Linked DNA regions of Struthio camelus. The protein of the gene in region 2 binds, or shares a complex with, the protein of the main gene of each other region. Links are inferred from orthologs where the notes say so. Each region holds a gene or a part of one and is shown on either strand. Other genes may lie near its edges.

Evidence for each region.
Region 1: USH1C (region 2) and ANKS4B share a complex: the UniProt entries of both Homo sapiens proteins name them as parts of the IMAC/intermicrovillar adhesion complex. The link is inferred for Struthio camelus from reciprocal best matches to the Homo sapiens genes USH1C and ANKS4B.

The regions. Positions count from the first base shown.
Region 1 is NC_090956.1:9,586,492-9,597,384, reverse strand, and holds the start of ANKS4B (ankyrin repeat and SAM domain-containing protein 4B), read left to right. Parts: upstream 1-6,263; 5' UTR 6,264-6,356; coding exon 6,357-6,520; intron 6,521-10,118; coding exon 10,119-10,893. Other genes in the region: ZP2 (zona pellucida sperm-binding protein 2), read right to left, coding at 43-92. UniProt on the Homo sapiens protein: As part of the intermicrovillar adhesion complex/IMAC plays a role in epithelial brush border differentiation, controlling microvilli organization and length. Plays a role in assembly of the complex.
Region 2 is NC_090946.1:20,459,066-20,470,569, reverse strand, and holds the start of USH1C (harmonin), read right to left. Parts: upstream 4,333-11,504; 5' UTR 4,318-4,332; coding exon 4,249-4,317; intron 3,932-4,248; coding exon 3,864-3,931; intron 1,864-3,863; coding exon 1,720-1,863; intron 1,191-1,719; coding exon 1,052-1,190; intron 1-1,051. UniProt on the Homo sapiens protein: Anchoring/scaffolding protein that is a part of the functional network formed by USH1C, USH1G, CDH23 and MYO7A that mediates mechanotransduction in cochlear hair cells. Required for normal development and maintenance of cochlear hair cell bundles.

The DNA.
Region 1 (10,893 bases), on a different chromosome or scaffold from region 2:
AAAGGGCCCAGCTCCCCAGCCCAAAGAGCAAACCCCACTCACCACATCCTTGAGGTGCCTAAGCACTGCTGCTGCTCCAAGACCAGCCACATCTTCTCACTACCACCACCAAACTCATACTGAGTTGCCCTCAGTGGGATTATATAGGCCCTGGCACAGGCCCAACACAGGTGCAGCCATTCTGCTGCCTGAGGGTTTGCACCTGCCTCTCATTAAGACACAGTCCCTGGGTGGGGAAGAGGAGGACTTCCAGGAGACCTTAGGGTGATGTTAAGGCTTGGGCACTGGTTGCTGTATCATTCAACTTTTAAGGCATTTTTTTCTTTCTCTGACAGCATTCTCCCTTTATTCCCTTGCCAGATGTTGCATAGCAAAACACAGACACTTAGGCATTTATTTTTAAAAAAAGGAGATTTCTGTACCACTTAGATTTTCCGATGATTTAGAACAATTCCATTGTTGGATTTCTTTGTAATTGAGAATTTTTTTTTCTCTGTACGGGCAAATCTGCAATGCTAATATAGTTCTAAATAGGTGGGAAATACAACTGGCAGATTGAGGAAAGTCTTAGATCAGATGTCCAGACTGGAAGCTCTCTGGAGGTGTTGGCTAGAACGCCAGCACCCAGAGCTGCGGGGAAGGGGCCTAGCAAAACAGAAACTCATATTTATGTTATTTTTCAGCTTCCCTGATATCTTTGCATTTAGCCATACTTGTAAAAAAACCCAAAGATACATATTTTTTAAAGTAATTGAATTCTTGAGGTGTGAGAAAGTGAAAAGACAGATCTTAGGAACAGAAGAAAATAAATCGTACAGATGGTAATTTAGGAACGGGATGTTAAATTGGGCTTCAGGGAATAACAGATTTTGCTCACATGTATTCATCTGTCTTTCTTTTTGCAGTTAGAGACCTATGCATAGAGTAGATTTTAGGAGCTCCCAGCCTGAGTGACAATAGCCTCGTTTCTCTTAGAGACTGGCAATTTTGAGAAAGAGCTGGTCTATGGGGTGCCAAAGTGCTGGGAGCTTGGATGGGACAAGAGCATGCCTGGCAGTGTGTGTCATTGTCATCAGCATGCTCTGTAGCAAAATATTATAATTTTCCTGCAGGCAGAACACATGATTAGTGTAAGTATTTTTTAAATTTACATTATTTAGAAGCATCTCTTTAACATTCATCCCTGTGGGAAAATGGCAAATACAGAGTTAAAGCTGTCATGCAAGTGGGGGTGTCAAGCGTGCGCTACACCAACAGGCAGGCACCAGTTGGGATCCATAACTACTCCAGAGTAAATGGCACCTCATGTTAGCAGTATGAGGAGAGACAGAACCTGATGGCTTTTGCCATCAGTAGGACTAGTATGTGGCTACGCTTTGGTGAAAAAATAATTTTCCAGAGACTCCTGAACTGGAAGTCACAAAACATACACCAAGACCCTTCACTTTTCTTCTTTTTTTTTTTTTTTTACAATCAGATTAATTGTTTTCAAAAGCAATGATAATACGGAAAACTAATGAAACAAACTCTGAAGCCATACGCTAGTTTAACATATCTATTTTTATTAGGTTGGGTTTAATTAATACAGTCAGGGAGAAAAAAGGGCTTCAGGTGCCCGCCCTCGAGAGAACCGTGCAAACGAAGTACCTTCAGGCAGGACCAAATCCGACGCAAAGTTAAAACTTACCCAGTTTCCCTGCCCTGATTCACAGCTTCATTAAGTTGGTGGAAAGACTCTCAGACCTGGGGAGCTGTGGATGGTGCTCCCAGAGCCTGGCTGACCCTGGGCCGGTGCCGGCGGGTGAGGCCGGCTGGCGAAAGCTCAGTCTCGCCTCAAGTCTGAGTGATGCTGCCAGCTTGGCGGAAGGCTGCGGAGGCCTGAGCAGAGGCAGCGCATGGTCTCTAAGCAGGAGGAGAGACCGTCCCTGCCGGCTAGAGTTCACTAAGGGTTTTGCCCACCCTCAGATGCCTCGCAGCAGGTTGTGGCTTGTGTTAGGCGAAAGATGGTGTCGGACCAGACAGCGTTTGACAGGCAGAGCGATGCCACTGCCGCGGTCACCACAACTGGATTTTCCCTGCAGCACACGTTAGCAGCTCTTAATAGCAATCGGGCAGTACGTAAGTTTGGAGGATGCGGTTCATCAAAGCGCGCTAAGATAATTGGCTGTTGCTTCATTTAACATGTCTGAATTCAGAGTGTGCGACTTGAGCTACAGAGGAAGCACAGCCGTCCCTCTTCTCAAAAAATTCAGTTCCACCCGTCAGAATTGTTGAACCTGTAGGAATAATTTTGGTCTGCGTTACATAGCTAAACAGTTAATTCATGCTCTGAAGAGCAAAAACAGCTCCGTGGCTCTCATTTTTTTTTGCTGCAAAAGCTTGGCAGGTCTCCTCTCCTGTTTCTCTGCTTTTCTCTTCTACTTCTTTGACTTTCTGACTTTTGGGAAAAAAGGCATTACCCAAGACCAGCGCTGAACACCCCAGAAGCGAGGGCATCGCATACTGACCCTGGAGAGCATGGCTCACGTCCTCTTGGATGTCCTCTTCTGACACACTGGTGGTAGGACAACATTTCAGACAGCAGCGAGAGCAGGGCTCACTTTCCTTCTCCATGAGACTATTTGTAGCACTGCTGAAGTTATTAAGGAAGTTATTAAGGAAAAAGAGGCAAGAAGGAGGCGTCAGCAGCGCAAAAAGCCTCGACGCCAGGCCACACCTGCTGCCGCTGAGCGCTCCCAGCTAGGACACCTATTCCAAGGGCCGCGAGGCCGCGACAAGCAGCATCACTGCTTGCAGGGCCACGAACGCCCCCCGGGCTGCTCGCCCGTTCCCAGCAGGCAGGGCGGCGAGGAGGGGCGCGAGGTGAGGCGGAGGCGCGCCTGAGGAGGGACGCGCCTTTGGTACCGCCACTGTTATTGCCTTCCCAGTTGGGGGATAACCTTTCCCGATGGATGATGGCCTTGCTCCCGACACGACCCGGGCGGGCAGAGCGTGGGGCTGCCCCGGCACCGCCGGACTGGAGCCTGGCTGTGCCCGAGCCGAGCTCACCGCGGGACGGGGTCACGGTCGGCGCCGGCCCGTCTCGCCCAGCCTCTCCGCGGAGACAGGGTCGCTCCAGACTACATATAGCGACAGGATCCTGGGGCGCCGGGGTAGGCGTTGTGCCTGTATCAGGAGTGAAGAAATAAGCTTTTATTGTTGTTTAACTGTCGTCGTCATCTCTGAATTGTGTAACCGCGATCACCCCGTGTGACCAGCTCCGCTCTCCTCTAAGGCCCATTAGTTCCAGTGGGATCTCATTAGAGGAGCGGAGGAGACCTCCCCCTGTACGGCTTTTACCATACCACATTTGCCACTTATAAAAGTTGCGATGAGGAAATGCTGTGCTAGATAAGACCTCATGCAAAACAGATGGCACAACAACATCTCTGTTTTTCTCCCAAGGCATGAAGCAAGACTGGGCTCTGAATTATCTGGAACAACATAACTAATGGTTCGTTATCCGGAACAATATAACTAATGGTAGTCTTCAAATAAGTCTGAATAAACCCTAAATAGTTTGCTTAACTGCTAATGTCATATTTAAGATAGTTCTTAAAAAATTGGAGAAATAATCATAGACGTAACAAAATCCAATAATAAAAATCAAAACTGCTAGTTAAATAATTCATTAGTTTACAACAACACGTACCATCACAATAGGCTTTCTCCTGAGCCTGGTAAGACATTTCAATTGGAAGTGAAATGGTTTGGAAGTTCTTTTCAAACCCCAGAAGAAAAGCTTCATTCTAACTACTCAGGGAGTTTTAAAAGTTCACAATTTTGAGCCTTAGTCTCAGAAGAAAAATCTCCACTCAGGCTGAGAAATTTAACTCTCTCACGCTGAGAAATTTAACATCATTTGCTGTTGAAACATTTATTGCATTTAAATTGAGGTTTTTAGGCGGGGCAAGGATTCACAAATACCAGGATTTTAGAAATAGATGGAGATTTTGTTTGATCTTTTCTTTCTCTTTTGTGATGTCCTTTTTGTGATATAAATAACAAGAGAGTTTGCAAAGTCCTGGAGCACCTCTCCACTTGAAATGGGTTTTGCTTTACATCTAGTTAGAACTTGCAACAAAAGTTTTCCACTTAATGTCAGATGAAGTAACTGTCTTTTAAAATAAACATTTGCACCTATGACATGATAAAGATCACTTTGAGATCACCATTTTGCATGCTAAATTGATTGCCACAAAAGCTAATGAAGGTATTTCTATAGTAGAAAACAGCAGTCTTGAAAAACAGAATACAAAACTCTCCTTTGCCACGAGCTCGCGTTCATGGGTGTTGCTAGTGTTGCTAAGAGTGTGAAATTTAACCGTACGGGAAAAAACCTTGTCTTCTCTCTCATACCAGGCACTGGTGGCATGTGCAATACCTGCCTTCGTGACCCACTCGTGAGAGACTAAGAGCTTACAATACCCAGTACAGCAAATAAAATTCAATGGCAACAAGGAACAGCCAATCTAATATATTCATAACAAAGTGTACGTATCACTGTCTTCATCCTGCAATGTTTTTTCTAGTAGTTGTAAATTTAACCCAGTGCTGAGCCTGGTTAAACAGAAAATGGAATAAATAGCTTTGCGTTTTTGGTTAGAAAAGCGTTGATGGCAACGCGGGGAACTGGAAAAAGGGCTGAAGGCAAAACTGTCTTCTAATGCCAGACTGGAGGCTGGCCTGGGTGAAGCACGGTCCTTCCCCACTTGCCTGACACTGCAGGATAGCACCTGGGGACGGCCGCCGCTGTGGACGACGTGAAGGAAAACCAGGACTTTAGGTTACTCCTATGTAGACGTGTTTATTCAAAGATTAAAATCAGTTACAGGACCTGACTGACTCTCCTTGTCTTCACGGAGGAAAATGTAGGTAAAAGCTTGTTCCTGAAGAGCTCTTCAATCCCTGCCTGAGAAAATAATTAAGCGAGAAAGCCCATTTGGAGAGGTCTCCCACGAATTAGGTAGAGGGCATTATGGGAAATAAATGAGGTTGCACTCCACTCAGTAATTGCACCAATTCAAGACAATGACTTCGTTTGCGATTGCTCGTTTTGCCTCTGTAGCAGGGGACGTAATAAGCAACAAAACCTCACTGCTAATTGCCGAGAGTACGTTCTCTAAGATACAGGTTAATTCAGTTAGTCGTAGAAAACAGCTTGACAAAAAGTAACATTTATCTGGCAGCTGTCATGAATGTGACCAGAATAACAGCCTCCAGCATTTTATTAAGCTATCTATAGTCTCTTACTGATTTCTCCCTCAACTACTGTTCTAAAACTACCATTTTAGTTATTTTTCACTTAGTTATTCTTTTGAATCTCAGAATTAGAATTATGGTCCAATTCTATAAGCCTTTACTTAGAGAGGTAGCTGATAATCACTCAAGCAATTCCAGTGAAATCAATGGGAAACATTTCTAAAGAAAGTGGTACATATGTGAAAATGGGGCCTGTTCCCAGGTGAGGAGCACAGTGGAGATCAGGGCAGTGGGCGCAGGCCCATTGGGTTTCTCCTTCTTGAATTCCCTGTGCCACTTTGCGAAAATCATTCAAATTTTTTCACCTGCAGCTAAAATGGAGATAACAGTACCTGTAAGATGAATTAGTATTTGTCAAGTGCTTTAAGATTTTCTGATGAAAGGGAATTTGAGGTAAAAGGACCACACATTAGACGGTGGTTTTGCCTGCTGGGACTGGTGGACCCGCTGGCCAGTTTTGGCTGAGCGCCACCGCAGCCCTGCCAGGGCTGTTCCCAACCCACACGTTGATCTGCCTACGCAGAACAGCTCCAGGGATGTGGGCAGTTTTGCAGGGGAGAGACTTGTTTTTAGATGTAGTAACCCAATAAATGATAGGTTACAAAGGACTTCACTGGTAAAAATAACTGCTTACAGAGTATTTCATCCTATCAAAAATCAAGGATACTTTATTACTGAGGGTGAAATTTGGTCTTGTTGACATCAACGGCAAATCTCCTTTTCAAGTCAGTTGTCCCAGAACAGTTAGGCAAAAGCAGCTAAGACACAGAGAAGATGAATGAGTCCCCTCTATGTTGAAATAGTCAAATACTGCAGTAAATGGGGAATGCAGAGTCACCTCTCAGAAAATGAAAGCATTAAACATACCGCTGCCTTGTTTCTTAGGCACAGTTCCAGACGACTTTCCTGCTAGGATGAACTTTGCCTCCCTCATTTCCATCCTGAGGATGACGTCTCAACTTGTAATTATTGATTAACTATCCCTGTAATGGAAGGGTGGCTGTCCTGTCTGGCTGTCGTTCAGGCCTGCTCTGGGAAACCAGAAATTACTGAAAATGTCCACCAGGTATCACAAAGCAGCAGCTGATGGCAATTTGGAGCTCCTGAAAGAAGCCACTAGAAAAGATCTCAATACTTTGGATGAGGATGGGATGACGCCCACCCTCCTGGCAGCGTACCATGGGTATCTGGAAGCTCTGGAAGTTGTATGTCGGAGGGGGTAAGTGAATCGGGCTCAGTTTCTTAGAGCTTGTGGCACAAAGCTATAAACAGCGTGTAGCATTTCTAGTGCTGCCAATGTGTCAGACCCAAAAGGCTGAATATCCTGGTAATTTCTTCCTACGGTTGTGTCTCTTCGTTCACCTTGGTTTAGGCCATGAACCTGCAAACAGCCCTGTAGCGGCAGGTCAGCGAAGCCACATCAACAGCCCTGGGACCCTGTCACGGACATGGAGTCTGCAGGCAGCAGTCGGTAGCAACAGGGTCTGGGACCTAATCCGGCCTTAATGGAGGTCAAAGAAAAACTACTGTTTGTCTTCTGTAGAGGTTAACTTACATCTTTGAGAATAACATACTTTGAAACTAGCTCTATAAAGAAATGTCTTGAAACATTTTGAGCAAAAGAGCTCTGTCGTTTGCTTCCAAAGTGCAGTCAATGCCTGTGAAGGTCTAATGCTTTTCTGAGGCGTCGCAACTGATAGTTTTGAGATGGTAATACCTAAAATTGTTATTTCTCTGCTCTTTATATCATTACCAACTACTACCATGCTAAAAAGTTCATGATACTGTTTCAGGGGCTCAGGTAGGATCTTTGCAAACTAAAAAAAAAGAAAAAAATAAAGGAAGGTTTTATACAGGTGTACCTGCTAGTAGTAATATTTCTGATTGGAATCATTTACACATACTACATGCTTAAAATATATTACTGAAAAGGTCACTAGCTCCCCGTATCATCCTCTGTACTCTCTCTGCTTGAAGCCTATCTTTTATGCTGTGGTTCTGCAAAAAGATCTAATAAAAGAGAAGCTTTTCATGTGCAGAGATACAGTAAAGAAAATGTTTTTTTCTGGGCTGAGATGAAGATTAAATTGACCTGTATTTTCACTTGTAATAGCTGAAAGAAGATTAGAGGAAAAAGTTGAACAGCTATTTGGATGTATTTCGGTTTTCTTTTCTTAAAAATAGAACTGAAAATACAGACTATGAATAGGCATGTCATAGATTTGCTTTATAGCTCACTGAGCTCAGGTGTGGTTGTAATAGCACAACAAAAAAGACCTTTGGACTGTATGGTTATTGCTGTGTCCCCAAAAGCAGCAAAAATAGACTGACAGATTTTCAACTTGTATAATTAATACAGCTCCACGGAAATACCTAGAATCAATACAGGTTTGTCTGTGAACACAGACAGAACATCTAGCTAAGGAAACAATAACAAGATAATCTTCAGAATCTGAGGGAAAAATATATAATCTACCATATATGTTGATAGAAGTCACAGCAGATGACACAAAGATCAAAATTCCTACGTATTTGTTACTCAGTATATTTCTGACTCTATTTTTCTTGGTATAGGACAATTTTGGGATAGTGTTGCCCTCAAAATCTTCAAACATATGCATTCACCGCTATTTTAATCCAAGATTCCTTGACACAGTCCATAGACTGAGGCAGTCAGAGACAGCGCTGTAGTCTTACTCATCCCTCCTTGGCCACTGGAGAGAGCTGAACTGTGGAAGATTTTCCCTGTTCTACAGGCCAGCAATGTTTTCTTGTGAGAAAATATTTTGATTATTTTTAACAAATTCTTCCTTTCCTTGAAGTAGAGGTGGTTTCAGGGGTTTCCTGACAAAGGCACTCAGACACAGGATGGTTTTCTTTAGAGTTGTTGCAGATTTTAGGACTCTGAAGCCTGCAACACAGTCGGCCTCTAGAAAATGTGGCAATATTAACAACAACTCCCTTTCATCTTTAAACAGTTTGTCTTCCCAGGCAGTAAGAGATCTTCTCTCTGCCTGCTGTGCAGATACACGACCAGAGGCAAGAGCAAGCAGCAGACAGCAAGTAGCAGATCTGCTCACTTTTGTGAGCACTTTTGCCTCCTTCCTCACACTTGGGAAAGGAGAGAAAAGAGGAGTATGAGAACCCAAAGTAGATGTCAGACTTTATCCAAAGCCGCCCTGAGTAGGGAATCACCTCTCTAGCTTGTGAATTAGTTGAGAGCCAAAGGCTGGAAGGAAAAGAAACAGCAAACGGCTATGAAGAGACCTGGGGGGACGGATGACCCAGCACTTCTAGGCACTCCTGAGCCAGACGCAGGACAACGTAGCCCGATTGCTAAATTGGGGATTAAGGAATCTGGCTTCTAGGGCATGCTCTACCACAGGCAGGCAGTTCCCTCGGGCAGAGCCAGAAAGCAGAAATAGGTACACATTTTCCATATGTCTAAGTCAAAAACTGATCCTGAGCTGTCACCTCCTTGCAGCAATGCCTGCGCTCAGATTTGCTGTTGTTTCTCTGTGTGAGCAGCTCTGTGTCTGGGTCCACAGGGACCGCAGTCTCCCTCATCTCCCGCCTGTGGCATTGTAGTCTGAAGGATGTTCTCAGATTTAGCGCTCCTCAGATATGTTAGTGCTTTTCTCCCAGTGATATGCAAAGCCAGAGATCAACACCTGAAGGAAATTCTGTGACAGGACACACCATTTCATCCATAACACAAGGGCCGTGGAATAAATCCCCCAAGACACTTAAATGTTTAAAACTCCCAAGAGAGGAAATTCTCTTTGTAAATTTGACCCCTGAAGTTATTAAGGATTTTGGAATATGGTGAGTGCCTTGGTTATCGGGCACAGAAGATTCACGTGCTGTTCTGAACCATTGCTAATATTGATCCTACCAAGTATGAGTGAAAAGACTCAAACCAATTCTAATCTGCAGGCAGCAGTTCAGCGTGAAATGAATGCAAGAGTTAAAGAGAAAGCAACGCTTTTCACTGGCTTGAAATTCAATTGAAAAAATTTGGCATTTTATTTTCAAATGAGCTTCTGCTTTCCAAGCCCCATGAGCAAAAGCGTTTTAAGGAGAACAAAAGAGCTGACCGGGGCAGGGGTCTAACAGCAATGGAGACAGATGGGTTGTCAGGGCTTGACTCATAATCATCTACCTATTACCTATCAAAAAGGTTACTGATGTGCGCACATTAGATATATATCACTGTGATCAATGAAGAAGCCTCCTACCATTGTCCCTGCATGTGACATGCAAAAAGAACAATTTGCCAATAGCTTTTAAAATACTCTGGCCAAAAGCCACTGAAACAATTTTACCATTAACTCTAGTGAGTGTAAGTCAAAGTCTGAGGCTGCTTTCAGCAAATTTAGTGGTAGAGCGATCAGAGCTGCAAGCGCTTGTCCTTGCCCACACACAGGGTGGTTGCTGGCTACTGGTCTATCGCAGGAGGCAGGGGGGACCAACAGGGAACCAGCAAAGCCGTACCTGCAGCACCCCAGCAGTCTCGGGGCTGACACAGAGCAAGTACCCCAACCCCATCGTGGGGATACGCAGTCACACGTGGCCCCAAAGGGCTTGCTTAATTCAGAGAGGGCCAGGACTGAGCACTGATGCCATACATGCAGCCAAACTCCATCCCGGGGTAGGTAGGTGCAGCACCAGCCTAGAGAATGGAGCTAAGTCGGGTCATTTTCACTGGGGCTGTACTTCTCACAGCAAAGCTGAGTTAACCTTTTAGTACTCGTTTGATCCCAGTGCAGTGTTATGTTGGATATGTCCAGCTCACCATATGCTATTTGCCTTCTCAGAGGTGATCCTGACAAATGTGACATCTGGGGGAACACTCCTCTCCACCACGCTGCTTGCAATGGTCACGTCCATTGTGTTTCTTTTTTGATCAAGTTTGGTGCCAATATTTTTGCTCTGGACAATGATCTCCGTACTCCTCTGGAGGCAGCTGCCAGCAGAGATAGAAATGAGTGTGTCAGCATCCTGGACAAAGCCGCCACTGAACAGAACATGCTGAATCCAAAGAAAGTCTCAAAACTCAAAGCTCAGGCCCAGAGGAATGCAGAGAAACAAATCAGGGAATGTGAAAAGCGCCAGGACAAACACCAGCATGAAATGAATCAGAATTATATGAAAGAAAAGCTTGGCTCAGTAAATTCTTCCAGAGGGACACACTCCAGAGGAAAGGTGTCTAGTCTCTTTACTTCAAATACAACAACTTCTTTCTCCAAAAATCTGAAAGATACCTTCAAATTGAAGGCAAAAAAGACAGCTGGTAATGCAGGAAATCAGGAAACACAAAGCAACGGCCAAGAGGATAGCAAGGATAGAAGAACAACTGTGATGCATTTATTTGATGAAAAAGATGAGGATGAGTTACTGAATGACCTCAGAGAGATAAACTTTTCTGACAATGACAGTCAACTCTCTATTTTCAAGCGGCCAGGTCTTGGCAAGATTGTATTTGGAAGAAATTTGGCTGCAGATATAAATCCAGAAGCTATACCTTCTGGGAAAGAAAGCATCAGCTTTAAAATGTCCAGTGAGCTCTTTCAGCATGAAAATGCCGAGAAC
Region 2 (11,504 bases):
GGCACTTTCTGATTTTCAAGAGTAGTGAGGGGTTACAGTGAAGCCACGTTTACAGAACACACTAGTTGAATTCAACACCATACTGAATCATGCCAGTTTGGCATCTTTTGGACTAATATTAAATGTCATCCTTAAAGGTCAGCATTTCTAGCAACTGTTCACAGTCTACAAATTGAAATTAATCAGACATATCAGTGTTATTACTTCCTACTGAGAAACACAGACCAACGCTTCACTTGATCAGGTACAAAGGCATAGGAAGAGGCAGACATTTCCCATAACAATTGCTCACTTTTACCTTAGTTAAGATAAATGCATAAACAATACACATTTTAAAAAAAAATCTTTGTTAATGGGCATTACAGAAGTACTGTCTTAGAGAAAAAAACGTATTTTTAATATATATTATTTTGCCAGTCTTGTTACAGTTCAAGTATCTAGAATTTAATCACTGAAAGAGCAATTGCATGCAGCTCAAGGGATATTGGAAAGGGTTAAAACTGGGTTATTGCTTTTATGTGCTTCCACAGGATAAACAAAATAGTCGTCTATACACAGAAGTTTAACTAAACATCTCATTACACAAATGATATCACTGCAAAGTGGAATTAACATTTTTAGTATTTATGTACTATGCTCTACATTTAATCATAATTTCGTAACTTGAAACATTCTCCCACAGGTAGTTAGAAAAGATCTTTTGTTCCATCTGCTTACACTTAATTTTTCCTACGCATGAAGTATAAATACTCTAGAAAGCTCTTATCTTCAAAAATTATCATACCTCAAACACACAAAAAAGGTTTATATATCATTGTTATTGGCAGGGAAAAAAAGGAAAAAGAAAAATAACTTAATTCACCATTGGCATTAGTGATAATTACTATGGTACTGACTTATATATTTTATGAATTTTACTATAAGAGACAAAGAGCATGTTAGTGACAGCTATTCATAAATATTAAAGAATATTTCTTATTGGATGCATCCCTAACATCATAGTAAAAAGGCTTTTTTTGCAGCACAGTCACCATGAATATCATTTTCTTACCTGAAGACCAACATTGTCTGCTTGTCCTCCTTTAACTAACTGGGAGATAAAGAGGCCGCAGCTAAATTCCACACCACCTCTCACACTAATTCCAAGTCCTTCAGGATGCAAACGATCCAGTCTCACCTCTTTCAGCTTTCTGCAAAGTTGGAAGACATCTGGCTGTTCAGCTGCATAATACTTTGTGGCAACAATGCTTCATACTAAAATTATGGATTACTTTTCTCTTACCTCATTCAGACTTGGAAAAAAGAGCAAGTTGACATTTGATGGATGTGTGTTTGCTAAAACCATTAAGTTTTTTTTTTTTTTTAAACAAGGAAAGACACCTGCAACTGTGGAAGCTGTGTATGCTTCTAGAGGGCTAGAGCTGTAAGAGAATTTTTTATTAAATGCAGGAAAAATGAAGGAAAAAAAAAAAAAAAGATTGCTTCAGCTTTGTTTTTGGACTCCCATACCCTGCTTCTACTAGATTAAACTACATGGCAAACAGTTTCAGGTAGCTCAAAACTGTACTTCTGGCAATTATAGCAAACATCAAAAAATTGTGCCCAGCTCTATAGAGCTAACAGGTATTTTGCTCAAGTAATTTTTCAAATAAGCTCTATGAGGCAATATTTCTTGCGTATATTTATCTGAACTTCGCTACCTTATCTGCATTCTCTTACCGTGATCTTTTGGGTGTAAGCTGATCATACTCCACCTGGTGTTTTAATGGGATAAGTGGGCGGATAGCATCAAACAGAGGCAATCTGCTTGGTTCATTAATCACGAGCTTTAGGTCCCCCACAAGCACTGGAAGATTCATAGATCTACAAAATTACAGTGAGAAAAAGGCTTAGCTAACCAACATACCAAAGTATTATTTAATTTAAGCTACGTGTGGAGCAAGTTATATCTGCGTATGCCTTCAACCTACTAAGAAAGTTATTTATGCAGCTCTTGTTTAAACCAAAGCAAAATAGTCTTTGAAAAACTAAACCCTCTGTAACGAGATAGGTAGGTAGGAACAGTAACCACATCCTTAAAAATAACTGAAGTCTCCTATACCTTACATCTGTTAACATGATGTACATCACATCTTTATAGAAGACATCTTCAGTTTCATTCTCAGAGTCCCCAACAGAAGACTTATGGGATTGTTTGGAAATAACTTTCCAGACCAGTTATATCTGCCTACTATACTTCTATTTCCTTACTAGTTCACAGTCCTTCCAAGGCTACAAATTCCTTCCTCTCCTGAATTCAGGGGACTAATCAATTGTTTCCACCCAGGAAGAAATCACATGATACCCAATAGAGAAAAGACCCGTTTTAAGATTTGTTTCAAACCAAAACAAACCAAAACTGAAGGGTCATTAACCAAGTTAACCACTAACAAAATCTACACAAGTGAAACTATTGTGGCCATTTGTTTTCGTGACAGCTATGCAAAGTAATCCTTGATACTGTCAGCACCGAGATACTCATAGCTCTAGAAAGTGGTCTTTGTTGCCCAGCTGCAAGCATGGAACAGCTCTATATAAGTGGAGCTATTCCTATGTAGCATCCAGTTAAACTTAGTCTACAGTATCTGCTGTTCCCTCTCTCACCAATTAGGTTTCCTGACATAAAATATTTTTGAGGTATATATACTGAAAATACAGATCAGGAATGGCTATTACATGAGACTAGAGGCCATATACTTTGATTTGCAAACACTATTCACAGTGAAGCAGATGTTAAATATTAATGCCAATAGCAATTGTGTATATTTTTGTCCTTGAAATGCTTTGTAATTAATTTGAAAAAGAAAGAAGCAGCAGCAGCAGCTTGATCAATAAATCCTCACAGCAATATTTGAAGTTTTACTCAAAAGCTGTTGCAGTTCTGGATATTGAGGAAAAGTTACTATATGCATTGTTAATTTTGTAACTGCAAGAAGATTTTAAATAATTAAGAGCTACCAACTCAACCTGCTTTCCAAACAACAGGCTTTATGAATGGAGAAACAATTGGACAGACCCGACTGAAACAGAATCAGATATGCAGCTGAATACACCCAAAATGATAGCTCAGTACAAACACTGCATGGAAACATCTACATCTCACTCAGCTGAGATGCTATTAGTTAAGATATGAATGGAAACAATGTCCGTCAGAGCCAGTTGCCTGTGATGAGTGGAAAATACATTCTCATATTCTTTGAGAAACAATGGATCAGATGCTGATCTCATTTGCAGTGATATAACTCCTAAGCAACCATGGTTTAAATCAGTTCAGTAAAAGGACTGGTAATTGGCCTATCACCTTACAGTTTTTCCTTTTCATTATGTCTTAATAAATCGAAGTTGTTAAACATGCTAGACAGACGCCCAGCCTAATTTTTTTCAGCTTTCAGATAAAACAGTTGAAAATAATTCTTAATCTGAATAGTTTACAAAAATCTTTAAAAAGCAGACTCAGCAAAAGCCTCCGACCAAAATAAATATGCATTCTTTGAAAATATTAATGAATGTTATCAATACTCTCTTCCGTTTCCTAAGTACGGCTTTATTACCTGCATTCTTGTTTCCCTCCCAATAAAGGTCCACAAAACCGACAAGCCATAAAAACAAAGAAACTGTAGTATTAGCTACAGTAAATACTCCTTTTTTGTCAGCAGGCTACTCTGCAAAAGTATAAGACTTCGTTACATAGAATTAGAAATTATTACTTTTATTTTCTAGATGGTATTCAGAAAGATTGCTTTCATAAAATATTGAATGTTCATCCTTCAATTTTAAAAATATTGGTGAAATTCAACACAAACATATATAAAGCTAGATCTTACTGGTGGTACATCCGCAGCACATCATAAAGGTAATCCTTCTCAGCTTCATTGTCAATTAGCAGATTAACCTGAAAATCCAAAGACTTTATTGTAATTTTCTTACTAAGTAGCTACAAATGTTGAACATACAAAGCTTTCACAAATTCCTAAGCCATAGTCCAAAGACTTCAAGAGGGGAAAGTTTTTATAAAAAAAAAAAATAATAAAGCAGCACATTTTTGCAAGACAGTATTTTTATCTCAAAATACGAAGCTTGCAATAAGACTTTTTAAAATTAATATTGCAGTAATTGAACAAGGCAGTAAATACTGAAATCACACATTCTATATGCTAGATTTCTTCTCAGCAGAGCAATGCTGTCACAATAATATCACATTTGCCTTACCTGATAATCAGTGTACTGTTGAATAAATGTTTTCAGAAACCTTTTTGGCCATTCATTAACATAGCACATGCTGTCACAGATAAAAACATCACACTGATATAATTATAACCTATGTTCCGTGGCTCCAAACCACCGATTTCCGTATTTCACTTAAACATTATGCAAACTTCTACACTGCTGTTCCTCTTCGCTCCAGCTCTGAAGTGATAGAACTGGCTAGTTATTCTTTCCTCCCTTAGTAATAGTACATTTACTTAAACTAGTATCACATTACAATGCCTGTTCTTGGATAATTACAGTAAAATAAAATTTAAAAAAAATACAGAAATCTGATATGAGGAGCTCAATTTATATTCAGTGACAACAGTAAGAACCCCACTGATCTTACTTGCAGTAAGAGTTCACATCACCACGATTTTCCTTTAGACAAGCTTAATGTTTAGGAAAACCATTTACATGTGACCTAAAGGCTAATATTACTGTGACGTGCAGTCTGAAGACTAATTTGCATACTTAAAGGAAGTTCCTTTCTTTCTAGATTTGCACCAGTTTGTAGTATAGTCTAAACTAAATAAATGCTTCATATTCTCTTCAACCCCTTCTGCTCTCTGAAGTCAGCCAGACTCCACTTATAAGTGATTTTCTCCTAATTATATCCTGTGGAAGAGAATACTTTCAAAACAATTAAAGGCTAGAAAAATTACACACAGGACAGGACTGCATGAATCCTACTCAAGATTGCTTTACTAGCAAGTAAACTAATTTATTCACAGTGAATTTCAAAACACCTTAAAAGGAAATAATACATTTGCATTCATAACTGACTGGTTCACCAATACCATACATAGTTTTATATTTATCACCTTGAGTTGCTTCTAAGTCCAATATTCATTTCTCTCTTTCCCATCAGTAAAAATACTCACAGCATGAATCAGCTTAGGGCCTGGTCTAAGGGACTCAACTTCTACTGCTAACTATGGTTCTGTACAAGCCTGCTTATATGATCTCGTGAAGAGTACCAAATACGTCAACCTGTTTCCCTCGCAGAGAAAAGGCCAAAACCCTCATCTTCTTTCTTTCTGACTGGGAAAGCAACCAGTAACAACGTACTTTTTCTCTCATGCACTAGCTGGTGGGCACGTCTCCCACCCTCCTTAGGCAGCAAAGGTCTGCATCTAAATTTCTTCTCACACTACATTCGGCCTTTCTTTTCTGTTTGATTACCACACTTCTCACTCTAAGCCAGCAACCTGCTCCTTCCTTGTGAAGTTTACCTGGATGTTGGTTGTCTCATCTATTCAGAACACGACTGCTGGGAAAGTCTTCCTGGACCTTCTCTCTAATCAGGTCATTCTTCTCCTGCTGCCTCCTATTTCACCAACTATCATTTTTATTGTAGCCACCTGCCATCTCTTACCATTCTTCTAAATAATTAACTCCTTGGGATAGCCTTATTGTAAGTATACAGTTTAGCTAGTCTCATCAGCAGCTTCTAAAAGCTGACTCTGCAGAAATCTCAAAAGTTCTTGCCCTCACAGGTTAAGCAATAAATCAGTGACAACATGGTGTAACCTGGACCAGTAAAATGTTTTAGTAGCTCTCTGGTTCTTGAGAAATGTAACTGTGGAGGCATGGGATAGATGATTTCATAGCCTGTAAACCCAGGAGAGTCCATTCTGCTCATTTTCATTATATTCAACTTTTATACCATTTCTGCTGATTTGTGCACCAAGCCCATGGCTTCTGGTTGAACTGCACCATCTCTTTTAGAAAGCTACCCAACTCTGAGCAGGAGGGCTTCATCTCATCTGTAGGTTAGACATATAGCTTAAAGCATATGACTGGGATTCCTTCATAGTCAATGGATAAAGGCAGGCACTTCCACTTGATACTTCATCCTAGACATCTGCAGAAGACACTTCATTACATCCTTTCTCCAATGACTACAGAGGAATCCTGAAGTGACAAACTTAGACTAGAATGAACTGAAGTTCTATGCAAAATTTGGACAGATTATTCCACCTCCAGTATGTAAATTATCTGATTATTTTACATAAGGGTCTGTTAAATATGAGTAACCTTATTTTTTCAGAAACATCTTCTCTGTGTCGGAGGGCTATAACACACCATTCTGTTTCATACCTACAAAGGTAATGTGCATGATGAGTGGATCCAGTACTCAGCGTTATATAAGTACACACACAGAGAGAGTAAACTCCTCTGCTAATGTACCAACTATGACACAGAGAGAGTAAACTCCTCTGCTAATGTACCAACTATGACAAAGACACATACCTATCTCTTCAACAAGGTTAACAAGATGGACTTCTCCTAACCTCTGACTTCAGCATAGTGAATTTTTGAAGCTTGTTTCTAACCTCTTGGTGTAATTCCTCGGATATTCTATCTGGACACAGTGTTGGAGTAGTGCCATCATTGCCATTACATTGGTATTGAAATAGCAAGCTTAAAAACAAAGAAGCATGCAACAGACATTTATCTAAATAAAAATAGCATCTGGAATTAAAACAGAGACTGCAAGTGATAGAAAACCTCTTGGTTATAAGCGCAGGCCATGACACAGCTCTCCATTATGGGCTTCTTTCACTAGCTGCAGAAGCATTTTGCTACCAGCTATTGTAAAACACGGAGCTGATTGCTGATCTAGTCAAATCTAATAGTTCATTTTAACATCGGTGTAATTGTTAAAGGCTTCAGGTTCAAATATGTTTTTAAGAAAACTGACATAGAGACAGATTCTGTAAGCAAGAATGAATATGCATAAATGGACACATCGATTTATTGTTTCCTCAGTGAGCTTCAACACATGCACCATTGAACTTGAAACACAAAACAGTAAATAGTGAACAGCATGACATCTGCCGCACTTTCTAAAACACAGCACAATTTACCAACTGAAAAATAAATCAGTTGTGTGGAGACTTGATAAAATGAACATGTGTCCTGATTGTTTAGCGTAAGACATTAGGTACTGTATTTGTAGTCTCTTATATGAAAGGTCAAAGCTCATGTGATTACACATCTTACAAAATCATATCTTGTAGCAGATACAGAAATGCTAGGATAAACAGCTGCAGATACCTCTATTAAGAAGCAATATGTTATTTAGGTAGACACTTAATGGATGTTCTTAATATAAAGGTATTTCATATTGATTATTTAAGGATACTATAGCAGTTGTGCAACTTTCACATAGTTCTTGTGTAACTCTCAATCCCAGAATACATATGAAAAGTTGCTTATGCTCTATTTCTTACTACATATATCACACAGTTTTGTCCATTTAAATTAATAAGAAATCATCACAAAAATTGCACCTACATACAAAAAGTCTGCAAGAGATCTATAGCAGGTTATTTAGTAGAATAAAAACTGTGAAAAAAAAACCCTGGAATTTTCCACACCAAAAGTGCTTATTACAGTGAGGCACTACTGTAGCAGTAGCCTAATCCATCAGCTTTCAAAAATTACTATAAAACTGTACTTGAACTACGAAGCCTTTGGAAACTATTTCAGAAAATGGAAGAACTGGCCAATATACTTGTGAATAATTAATCTCTAGGCTTGCTGCTTAGTTGATAGGGAGGACTGATTAAAATTATAGAGAAACAAAAACAAAATGGAAGTGGCAAATAATTGACCGGAAACTCAGGTCCTGTAGCTGTGCACTTTCATTGTTTTGACACAGCAAAAGCAAGTACACAAGATATTAAAATTCTACAGAGGCCACTAAAAGCATGCTGATACAAAACAATTTAAAGGAGAACACCTGCTTCAATATTGTCTTACTCAGATAAACCATTTTCATGTAGACATGCATCATATTTACTTTCACCAATGAATGGCGGTGATAAAGCTTCCTTGTGTTAGTAGGGTGGGACTAGGATGATTCATGAATTATAGCAGAGACGAAAAGGAATAAGGTTTAAGGTTCAAGATGGTAACCGTTTGCCCAGACTTTATAGACAAGTTGCATAACCCACTGCGGAGTTATACAATAATAGGTAGCAAGGCAGAAATAACTTGCTAGATACCAGTAGTCATAAGTACACAGTATCCAGGTCCTTAAAGTTTTTGGACTTCATTTCGTATATAGCTGGTTATTTGCAGCCCCTCTACTTCATTCTAACAATTCTTTAGTCAAGGGTTTTATTACCAGTTCACGTTTAACTACTATAGAACATAACATTACACTACTGTCTTTTCTGGAACTTACCTCAGAGAAATCCCATTCACTAGCAAAAAAAAAAAAAAAGGCACTAAAAACTTTAGTCTGAGACAGTTGTAAACTGCTACGGCAAAGCATCCCTTAAAGGTATATACCTTTTTTTCCATTCATTTCCTTAAAAAGTGCTCTTTGAGCTTACTTTGCTCACACGATCATGAGCTCTACAGAGCACTTACTTGACTAGGTAAGTGACAAAACGACGTGCCAGGCAGACCGAGCCGCTCCATGTACGAAGCGCATTTGCACATGACTGCACATGCACAAATGCACGTCGCTGGAAAGTTAAGGTGGCTCTGGACGCTCCTGAGCCCCGGCTGCTGCTGCGCAGAACCGCAAATGCGAACTCCCTGTTGCAACAGTGTTTCCTGACACGATTGTATTGAGGCGCGGGAAATAACTGTGTCAAGCCCTGAAAGAAAACTCAGGCACACAGGCCTGCTTTGGCCTCTCCTTCCCTCTTTAGAGGCTGGAACCGCCGCCGCCGCTCCCCGCTTACCTTGTGCCTGAACTCCCGCGCCACCCGCCGCTCCATGGCGCGCCGCCGCGCGGGGCCCGGGACGCGGAACGCGGAACGGCGCGCGGGACGCGGAGCGGCTGCGCCCGCAGAGGCCGCGCCCCGGCCCGGCGGAGGGAGGCGCGCCGCCCTCCTCTTCTTCCTCCTCCTCCTCCTCTTCCGCGGCGCCTGCTCGAGGCTCAGCCCCCGGCCTCGCTGCAGCAGCCGCCCGCCAGCCACCACCTCCCTTACACCGTGAAGCTTTTGCTTGTTTGAGCCCCCCAAAAGCGGGCTTCCTCTGCCCCGTATTACCTGCGCTTTGAGCTCTAGAGGTGTGCTCGCAACATGCTGCTTTACAGGTGGTGCTTCCTCATGGATATAGCCAAAACATCTCTCGTGTGTTTAAGTATGGCTATCTCTAGCCCTGCTATTTAAGAAATGCTCTAAGACGTGGGACCTACAGCATGGACACCTGGAGAGGGGAAAAAAGGAGTTGCTTCAGTGAATTGCTATACTGCAAATAATCTCAATGATTTTATGATTAGGTAAGCAGGAGTTTGGTTTATGATTGTTGGGTTTCCAAGCCTGATCTCACTTCCACCAGCTTTTCCCACTAAAGGAATACTGTTACTTGTGTATGTAGCTCCTGACTTGCCGACTGCAACTCTGTACCTGGATCAGAATCAAGCTCAGAATGCCCAGAAAGAAGCTTGTTTCAGACTAATCTCATTTAGATAATTTTGTCTTGGGCTGGTTCTCTTCCCACTTTCCCTAATCTAGTACAGAATAACAAAGATTTCTACAATTAAGGTTGAAAGAGAGAGTGCAGGAGCCTAGCTAGCCTATGCCCCTAACGCTGTGGCAGAATCAGCTTTGCCTGTGTAACTCTGGCAAGAACTAACCTAACTGGTTTACATAAGCACAGGTAGCTTACTTAGCCTCCTTCCAGCAGGGTGGAAATGTCTATGAAGACATATAAAAGAATGATGGAAAAAATGCCCTACTGCCAAATACAAACTGGAACCCATCATACTATTTCTGTGTGAAAAGACAGAAAGAGGTTCAGCTTCCAGCTAGGTTCCTAGCTTCAGTTAGGTTCAGCTAACCTAAGCTGAACTGTCTCCCTTAGAAATTGCTCTTACCCCTTTCAGAAGATGGCTTTGCTGTATAGGAGCACTTCACCGTTACAAGCCCTGCCATTCTCCTCTGTCAGGTGTCAAGAATAAAAAAGAGAGGAATGCATTTTAAACATATGTACAAACAAGGACAAAAACTGTTTTCAGAAATCAAAATTTTCTCTTTGCAGAAATGCAACTCATACACAAATATTTTGTCTTCTACCTAAGGTAACTTGTAGAAGCACATATTGAAAAGTGATTCTATCCAAGCATCAGATACACAGCCATATAATGCCTTCCCTGCATATGCAAAACAAAATTGTCTTATATTTGACAGCAGAAGAAAGGAGATGCATGAAATTTAAAGGAGATAGACGAAATACCATATATGTTTCTTTTAAACGTACACATAGACTGTAATATTAATTGATATATAACACTTCTTGAACTCCTAACAGAAAGAAATCTTTTATCAGCTCAAAGAGTCATGTACATTTGAAAGAAAGTGACCTTTTTATCATACAGACCATAAATATTCCTGGAGTCAGAAACTCTTCCTCCTGTCGTAAAATAGTGTGGAATTAACTTTATTTGGTGATTTGAAAACTGCTCTGAGTCACCAGATGAAGGGTATACCAAAGAAAGAATAATGAACTTGATGGGTTATTAGTCTGCTCTGTTACAAGAGTTCCTGTGCTCCTCTGTGCCTAAGTACAAAGCAAACAAACTTACAAAGCTATTGCATGCTCCAAAACAGCAAGCTTAATAATCAGTAAATTTGCGAGAAGGTTCTGAAGTTTCCATTACTTCAAATATGTCACATTAAAAGATGGTACAATTATGACTGCTTATTAGTTTTAGGTAATGAAATCCTTCTTAGTGAGAAAGCATAGTGCATCTAAATGAGCTTTAAACAAGTGCCAGATATTGTTTGCTACTTGTGGCTTTAAGGGAAAATGGATAAAATAGGCAGCCCATTTACTAGGCAAAGAAATACGTTTAAATGCGTGTTGTGTAAACTGATACCTGTCACTTTTGATCTACTTTCTCTACTTCCATTGATGCAATCTGGATCAGAGAAAGAGCACCAAAGCCAAGTGCGTGGTGCATTCAGAGTAGATGGGCTCTGCTATGGGCTGAGGGTAGTATACGTTTCTAAAAAACTGTTTAGTATTATTTGGAAAAGGCTGTGCTGAAGTCAAAGAATCTCTTTTCTGTCTCCCCTTTGCTTCTTTCATACACAAACTCCCCCAGCATTTACAGGAGGGAACGGAATTCTCAGTGAAAACATCACTAGTTCTCCATCATTTCATTAGAAATGAAACACTTGTTGCAGCAAGAAACACAATCCACAGGGACAAATTACAAAGGCAGAAAAGAGATCTTTTTAATGACT